Linked DNA regions of Drosophila melanogaster. The protein of the gene in region 1 purifies or fractionates together with the protein of each later gene. This does not show direct contact. Each region holds a gene or a part of one and is shown in the gene's direction. Other genes may lie near its edges. The genes, in order: ND-18 and ND-49.

Region 1 (3,366 bases):
TGCCGTTCTCGTTGATGTTGCCGCCGAGGGTCGGGTAAATGCCGATGTAGGTGCGGTAGAGCAGCGGCAGTGCATTTGATGAAATGTGCAGGCACGGCAGGTGGGGAATGAAGTCGTTGCCGACCAAAAAGCCCATCAGCACCCAGTCGTCGATAAGCTGCGCAATGTCCAATTTGTGCTCGTCTGTTCTCAGGGCGTCGAACTCCAGCTCGAGGTACTCGCGCAGCAGACCCAGGTGCAGCAGGAAGAAGCGCGTCTCCTCCACCGAGGTGCGCTTGACGTTGCGCCCGAACTTGACCTCCTCGCGCAGCACCACGAAGTGCAGCTCGTGGGTGCAGAGGCCCAGAATGATCAGATCGGCGTCCAGGCCGTAAAGGCAGTGTCGTGTATTGGGATCATAGTCCGGCTGCGTCTTCATGTACCGAATGTAGTCCATGATCTTGTGCTCGCCCTCGCCGGGCGCCTCCTGGCCACTTAGGATTACGGTGCAACGCTGCCACAGCGGATCCGTCGAAATCTTCGTTTTGAGAAAGGCGCGCAGTCCCTCCTGCAGACGCACCATGAATTCGGTGCCCGGCGTAATGCAGTTGCTGTCGAAGCGCTCGTGCTCTCGCAACTCGCCTCGCTGGGCCGCCTTGGCCTCCTGCTGCTCCGCCTCGCGCGCCGTCCGGAATCGCCGGCTGCGCTGCTGGTTCATCTTGGCCCGTGGAGCCACCCCGTCAACTGAAAGGAAGAAGAGGCGCTGCGGCTTGATCAGGTAGAACAGCTTGTCTACGTAGTTGAAGATTTCCTGGAATATCTGCTCCTCCTCCAGGTGAAAGTGTATGTTGTTGTCGTCCGGATGCGAGCAGTTGTGGACAATGCCGTTCATGTCCAAGTACAGATTGTCGAACTCGGGTATCTGCAAAGGAACCGTACGGTGCATGGCAACATATAACGTGACCTAGCAGCTTTACTTACGCAGTGCTCCCGCGCCAATTCGCTGAGGCACGGATATCGCTCGCTGATGTAGCGAAAGAACTTGGGAACGCCCATGTCGCTGTTCTGGATGGGACTGTTCTGCCGCCGTGCTGTTCTGCCTGGATCAGTGGCAATTTAGATGAACTGAAAAATTTGTGTCTTTATCTGTTTTCAACATGTATTGATTGACACAAAAGTTGCAAGTAGGCGAGGCGTTGCCACAACGTTTCGCTATTGCCATGTGGTAGGGCCGGCGGCATTCCGCAGTTCGATGAATAACTGAAAGAATAAGGACCCTGACCGATTCAAATCGATATTAGAATCGATAAGCGAAACGGGCTCCTTTGCCAATAATCAGCTAATGGTGAAATTAAGCTAAAAGGAGCTAAGAACACCTACATATCTGGCAGCACTGGGCAAATGCAATGCTCATCATTTAAACAGTTGGCTTACAAATAGCATAGTTTTAGTTCTAGTTACTTCTCTAGTTCATCATCAGTGTATTTCATTTCATTCATTTTCATTTTAAAGTTCATTTTACCACTTGAACAGCATTTCATAGTTTTTGCGAAGTTCGAAGTGAAAAAGAAGAAAACTGTTTTTGAACTATTGTGGCATCGCATCCAAGGCGAGGGGCCACACTGTTTCCAATTAGAATAAAAACACTCACCGCTCGCCTGGTCACACTGGCACTGGCGAACAGCTGTTTTCCCAATCGAAAAGCGCTTGTGTTCCAAATTTTACGTAATTCGTATTTTGAAGCCGATTTCTGCCGTGTAGCCCCAAACGCCTAGCGAAATGTCGGCCCTCCGCCAAGTGATGTGCAGAAGCACCGCCTCCCTGCAGCTGTAGGTACCCCCGCCTGGCCGGAGCAAGTGCATCCGACCTGGCAAATCTGCAGCCCTCTAATTATCCACTTTCGCATCTTGACACCGCAGGTACCAGGCCAACAGGGCAGCCGCTGCCCGCTGGGCATCCACCGCCACGGACGGCGGTCCGCTGGACCCCAAGACGGCCCTGGCCCGCCCCGAAGAGCTGGAGCAGCGCAACAAGCTGAGTGGCAAGATCACCGTGCCGACTGCCGTCAATCTCAGCCCGATCAGCGGCGTTCCGGAGGAGCACATTCGGGAGCGCCGTGTGCGCATCCATATTCCGCCCAAGAACGCAATGCAGAGCGGCACCGATAACGTGAACACCTGGCAAATCGAGTTCGACAACCGCGAGCGCTGGGAGAATCCGCTCATGGGCTGGGCCTCCAGGTGAGTAGCTGGCACGTCCACCATGCCATGGCAACCTTGGTCAACGTCTCGTGTTCCAGCGGCGACCCATTGTCCAACATGAACGTGCAGTTCGGATCCCCAGAGGAGGCCATCACGTTCTGCGAACGGAACGGATGGCGCTGGTACGTCGACGGCGCCGCGAAGCCCAAGAAGGAGCGCGTCAAGAACTACGGCATCAACTTTGCCTGGAACAAGCGCACGCGCGTCTCCACCAAGTAGACGCTCCCCGCAGCTAGCCAGGATTATAGACCACAATTATCTGATTTTTTTTTTGCTTTGTTCATTATCTGAGTACCCAAATAAACAGTCGGCTGGACTCAAATGACCACAGCACCATGTAATGGCCACCAGTTTCGCTGCCAATGGAAGCGGCACCATCACATGCCGCTCTAATGACGAGCGGTTTGGGAGCGATGCCTATTGTGCTGCTTCTCGCGTGGCTCTCGCTCCTCCCGACGCCTATCGCCATGTCGATGCCTGCTCGGACTGCGGCTTCTCTTCCGGCTGTCATCATGATGCTGGTACCAATCTCTGCGCTCGTTGCGCCAGTCCCGATGCTCTTGTCGCTGTCCTCGGTCCTTGTGCTCCTTAAAACGATCCATTTGGTCGTTATGCCGCCCTCTGTCCTCCTGGTACCGCTGCCTGTGCTGCGTTTGCTCGTTGTGCCGCCATTGGTGCTCCTGAAACCGCTCCGCTGGCTTATCGCGTCGTCCCTTGTGATCCTGTTGCCGCTCCGTTTGCGTCCTTTGCTGGGATTGCTCAACATACCGTCCGCGGTGCTCCTGTCGGTCGACTTGCTTATGATGCCGCCCGCCGTGCTCCTGTTCCCACTGCTTCTCCAGCGCCTGCATCTGCAGGCTGACTAGCTGGTGCAGCTCCTCGTTGAGCGTGGGCTTGCTCTTGCGGTGGCGCCGATGATTCTTTTGCTGACGCCGGGTTTCGCCCACCACCTCGGCGAAGGCGGTGTTGTCCTGGAACTGCGGGTGCTTCTTGGTGTGCTTTAGAACGTGCTCGTAGATGAGCAGCCGCTGACTCGCGTCGAGTCCTGCCTGCAGATCATCAAAGGAGGCAGCAGGAAGGAGGCGTCGTGCTCTTTCGGTGCCCACAATGCCCTGAATAGTCGAGT
Region 2 (5,664 bases), on another chromosome or scaffold:
AGATTAAATTTTGATACTGAAAATGAAATTGATATAATACCTAGGGTTCTTAGAAAATTTAACCCGACTTTTTTAGAGCGGAATTATACTTTTCAATTTATCTCGTCAAAAAGTTTACTAGGCAGTTAAAAAAGAAACAATACTTTAACGGCATTCTTTTTCGACCCGTATATGTATATGAACTACAAAATAAAAGGATTTCAACCTTCAATTCGAAGGTCGTTTGGCAAACGGAAAGAAAGACAAAAAATATATCGACATGGCTGTGTAAACTGATCAAGAATATGTGTTCTTCTATTGACATTTCCTCCTTTACTTCGTTGACAATCCTGACTGAAATTAGTTTACCCATTGCAAAATCTAACTACATATTATATCTACTCATTCTAAGCTTTGAGATCATTACGCGTTAACATTTTAATGTAACAGTAGCATATTATGCGTATTTATATTTTTATGTAAAGTTTATACAAGTTGATCTTTAAAACAAACAGCCTAAGACTGAGGGATCCTGTTTGCGCCGCGTTCGGCGGCAGTCGGCGAAATAAGCAGCTGTTAATGCTGATCAACAATATTTATATGTTGACTACCGCCACCTGACAGATTACGAGATTTTTAAAAGTACTTCGCTTTAACTTTGGAAACCGCCTAATTGATTTGATTCGACCCTGATTGATCAAAAATACTTATTTAACAGGCCGGCAAACCAATTATCAATTTAAGTGGGATACTACATTTTAATACATGTATGGTACATTTTCTATACAAACAGGGTTGGTAATGGCTTGGCGAAATATTAATATATTTTTTAACATTCATAGTCATAAACAATCAACATGGCATAAGATCAACAATATATAGCGGATCTGCAGTTCTTGACATTCAATTTATAACGGAACAATCAATATATTTCTTAAAAATTGTATGTTTAAGTGATAAAACATCCCAACAGCATTATACAATTACATATGTATGTATACACCAAAAGACATTTCTGTATACATACACAGTGACGACACACTCTCCGAGGAGACAGAAGAAACTCTATATATACACAAACATCTTACTCTCGGGGAAACATTCTTATTCGATACGATTAACAATCCGGTACAAATATGTTGGTATAACATAGTTGACATATAAAAACACAAAATATACATATATGCCCATAACACCGTCTTCCTTTTTTGGTACATCTTTTTCAAAATTACATTTTCACATGATTAAAAATTGTTCCAAACAGGTTTTTGTCTGAAGAGAAATACTCGAAAACAGCTCATTTAAATTAGTTTTTTCTACACTTGGACTACATACAAGAATTATTTATATAAATACTGTAGAGCTAGAGCTATAAAAAAAACTTGTTTAGAGCTGGAACAAAAAACGATGTTTACTTTAACTTTCGATGTATAAAGAAACTTAAGGGCATCGATAATTTTACAAATCAATCGATAGCGATTTTTTTCCAAAGGCCCGTATAATCTTATAATATAAGTCAAATGGTTTGGTTTTTTTTTTTTTTTTTGAATTTAACATATGCGAATTTCTACTATAAGTAATATTCACAGTAAAAACCATACCATATTGATAGGAAACTGTCTTATAAAGATTTTATTTGACATTTGTTGTAGCAGAACCATTATGTAAGTTCCTAGTAAATTTTTTAGCTAGGCTTAAGCACTATTTTATGTTTTAAGAATAATTTTATAATTATTAAAATTTATCTATTACCCGTGTCGAACCTATTTTGATTGGTGTAAGAAGTTTGAAACCCAGTGAAAGAGTTAAGAATTTGAAGTAAATATATATATGGTCAGTATCAAGAGCCGAGTCAGCACTACCGTCTGTCCGATCATCCGTTTTTACGTTACTATCTCTTAGCACCGGTTCTTGACTGCATAAAATTTTTGTTCAAGTTAAAAGAGTTTTCATAATTTTGTTTTCTTAAGTTTAGTCATCGGACGAAAAGTCCAGAAATCAATTGTTAATTAAAGAATTTAAATAGTTTCGTTGTTTTTAGTCATTAAATGTCCACATTCGCTCTGCTGAGATACTGCTAAGATATATAAGTTTAGCCTTGCAGAAGCTATCATTATTATCTCTAGTAATTATATTTTTATAGTGCTCCATTAACGCAAAATTCGCTTCATTGGGATGATGTAAAATTCAGGTCTTCGAAAAATTAATTGCAATTATTGTTTATAACATTATATAAAGATAAATAAAAACTTGGGTAAACGAGCAGGATGACAAAGTGTGTAATATATATAAGGGAATTTATGTGTTTTGCACTTCATTTTCATGAAGCAACAACCTGCGATATATTATTGGTGTAAATAGTATATAAGCTGTACGAGATTCGGTGTTTAAAGTAATTTTCGATATTTTTTGGATAGAATTCCGATTGCGGATAACTATTTGGTTGTATTAGATTCCTGAATTGTTACTAAAGAAACATAAATAGAGGAATTTGACTATCAGGATGGCCAATATAATGAGAAGAACGTTGATTCCTGGACTTTCACACTTGAGGCTGCGGCCACAACTTGTTGCAGCTGGATCGGCCGCGTTAACGTAAATAGTAAATGCTTACATAATTCGAATATATCATTTATATTTGTCCAATTGGAAACTCGTTGTTTAGTTCTCAGGAGACGCGACGGGGAGCAGCCAAGTGGTATCCAGACCCTGAGTTCATGAAGCAGTTTAGCGGCCCGGTGATGTATCCAGACGAGGTCACATCACTTTGGACAGTGCCACCATGGAACAGTTAGTTGGTAACCCAATATTAAACTGACCCTTGAACTAATCGCTTGACTTACCTCCTCTACTAGGCAAAGTAACGCCTGTCGAAAAGTCGGTGCGTAATCTGACCTTGAACTTCGGCCCACAACATCCCGCCGCCCACGGAGTCCTTCGTCTTGTGCTGGAGCTGGATGGAGAGGTTTAAGCTGTTAATCGACCACAGGTCTTGTGTAAATTAAAACCTCTGTTATTGCAGACCGTTATGCGTGCCGATCCGCATATTGGGCTGCTGCACCGTGGGACCGAAAAGCTCATAGAGTACAAGACATACACCCAGGCATTGCCGTATTTTGACCGGCTGGACTACGTCTCGATGATGTGCAACGAGCAATGCTACTCTCTGGCTGTAGAAAAACTCCTTAATATTGATGTGCCTCTCCGTGCTAAGTACATTCGAAGTAAGAATACAAAGTAATTTTCTCTTGCTCTTGACTTTGTAGTCATTAAGAAGATTTCAATAGTTTCGCTTTTTTAATATATGTATATATATATTATAATTTAGCATTGTCACCATCGCCATAAATCTTACGCAACAAAATCTTTTTAAAAGTTCTATTTAATTTTTGATTACCAAAAAAAAAATATTTTAAATTTGGGTTTGATTATTAAAATTATTTTAATCTAAAATTTAAAGTGAGATGAAAAAGTACCCACTATTTTTGGCACTGAAAATTGTTTTTCTTGTACAAAAATATATTAAAACCAATGGTTCGTGTAGTTCTTGTCTCTCAAACCAAAGACACTAGAATAATTCTAGTGTCCTTGCTCAAACCATGTAACATACATATTTCGAAGCTTGAAAAATGAGCCAAGATATCAGGGTAATATAAAAGATAATTAGAAGAGACTATAAATTATATTCTTTTCTGGGAAAACTGACTTGCAGCGCTCATTGGTAGGACGGTATGAATTTACGGTCTTATCGAATTAATGATCGTCGGACCGCTTGAAGAATTTTAGCCAGCCAAATATAAATTGATCGAAAAAAATAACTTTTTGTCACCACTTCTTCACCATTCACTAAAATTGTAAATTTGTAATAATTATGTGAAATTGTTATTTTTTGCGCAGCTCTCTTTGCCGAGATTACTCGTATTCTCAATCACATTATGGCCGTCGGAACACATGCCTTAGATGTTGGTGCTCTAACGCCATTTTTTTGGCTATTCGAGGAGCGAGAGAAAATGATGGAATTCTATGAGCGAGTTTCTGGTGCCCGAATGCATGCTGCCTACATACGTCCTGGCGGGGTGTCATTGGTAATGCATTCGCATGAATATTGAAAAATAATTTAATTGTCTTACGTTGTATGTCAGGATATGCCTCTTGGTCTTATGGACGATATCTATGAGTTTGCATCAAAGTTTGCTGAGCGGTTGGACGAAGTGGAGGATGTGTTAACTACAAATCGAATCTGGGTGCAGCGGACCGAGGACATTGGGATCGTAACTGCAGAAGAAGCTTTGAACTATGGCTTCAGTGGAGTTATGTTGCGTGGATCTGGCATAAAATGGGATCTTCGAAAGCAGCAGCCGTACGATGCCTATAATTTGGTAAACTTTGATGTTCCCATCGGCACCAAAGGGGACTGCTACGACCGATATCTTTGCCGGGTCGAGGAAATGCGCCAGTCATTACGAATTATTGATCAATGCCTAAACCAAATGCCTGCTGGAGAAATTAAAACGGATGATGCCAAGGTGGCGCCTCCGTCACGGTCCGAAATGAAGACATCCATGGAGGCACTTATTCACCACTTCAAGTTATTTACCCAAGGATATCAAGTTCCACCCGGGGCAACATACACGGCAATAGAGGCTCCGAAGGGCGAGTTTGGAGTTTACCTTATATCAGATGGGTCCAGTCGTCCATACCGGTGCAAAATCAAAGCTCCAGGGTTTGCTCACTTGGCAGCTTTAGAGAAGATTGGAAAGCAGCACATGCTAGCCGACGTCGTTGCAATAATTGGAACTTTGGATGTCGTATTTGGGGAGATAGACCGTTAGTTGTTTTTAGAGAATGTGTGTCTTCTCTGTACGAAACTGCTTAAATATATAAATATAAATACGTTCAAAATAAAATAAATTATTTGCATTTTAATTACTTGTAAAGTTGGTAAGAGGTTAAACGAAGTTTTTCCTCTGTTATCGTTATCTCTGGAACTAAAAACATTAAAATTAAGACTAAGCATGCATAATCTACTAACGCCAATGCCAGTGCTAAGAACTTCACAAACCCACGCACATTTTTAAAAAAATGTTTGATGAAAATGAGTTATCTCCAATCCCAATATACCTAAAAATTAAATGATGAATATATGGTATTAGAAATTTTAAAATTGGGGCTGATAGGTATGTTAGAGAATAACATCACCCACAAAAATTATTAAAAATACACGTAGACTCGCCTTATTCGTTTCGACACTCTGTTTAAAAGACTGGAAAATGTTCGGATCTGATTCTACCACTATTGAAAAAACCTGCTAGCCTACCGAGAAAGTTGTAGCTACTTTTCTTTATTATAATATACATATATATTTTTCTACACCTATTACTTTAGGAACAGAATACCATATCATAATATATACATGTATCATTGACTCGTGCTCAAATGGTATTTACGCTTTTAAACGAATTGTGTCTAAATACAAAATATAAAAAACGTATTACCAGCACCAAACTATCACCAGGTTTAATGTGAAATGCTTGGTTGGGAAAATACATATTTTGCTAGAGTGGGTATTTTTTAGTCGTACATGTTATTAGTACATATCATATTAGTACATATTCAGTACTTAAAATCACCAATAAAAAGTCAAAGCGAAAAATGGAAATTTTAGCGTAAACCGAAAAAAATCAT

What was found.
Region 2: the proteins of ND-18 (region 1) and ND-49 purify together in Drosophila melanogaster (affinity purification with mass spectrometry, with the first as the bait; one large-scale study listed by BioGRID). This does not show direct contact.

Annotation. Positions count from the first base shown.
Region 1 is NC_004354.4:19,490,779-19,494,144, forward strand, and holds ND-18 (NADH dehydrogenase (ubiquinone) 18 kDa subunit), read left to right. Parts: upstream 1-1,642; 5' UTR 1,643-1,758; coding exon 1,759-1,808; intron 1,809-1,898; coding exon 1,899-2,219; intron 2,220-2,278; coding exon 2,279-2,459; 3' UTR 2,460-2,559; downstream 2,560-3,366. Other genes in the region: pcm (pacman), read right to left, coding at 1-901, 961-1,035; CG12204 (uncharacterized protein), read right to left, coding at 2,630-3,366. UniProt on the Drosophila melanogaster protein: Accessory subunit of the mitochondrial membrane respiratory chain NADH dehydrogenase (Complex I), that is believed not to be involved in catalysis. Complex I functions in the transfer of electrons from NADH to the respiratory chain.
Region 2 is NC_004353.4:567,514-573,177, reverse strand, and holds ND-49 (NADH dehydrogenase (ubiquinone) 49 kDa subunit), read left to right. Parts: upstream 1-1,623; 5' UTR 1,624-1,643; intron 1,644-2,387; exon of another isoform or gene 2,388-2,396; 5' UTR 2,397-2,482; coding exon 2,483-2,574; intron 2,575-2,644; coding exon 2,645-2,769; intron 2,770-2,834; coding exon 2,835-2,944; intron 2,945-3,001; coding exon 3,002-3,203; intron 3,204-3,876; coding exon 3,877-4,064; intron 4,065-4,121; coding exon 4,122-4,811; 3' UTR 4,812-4,882; downstream 4,883-5,664.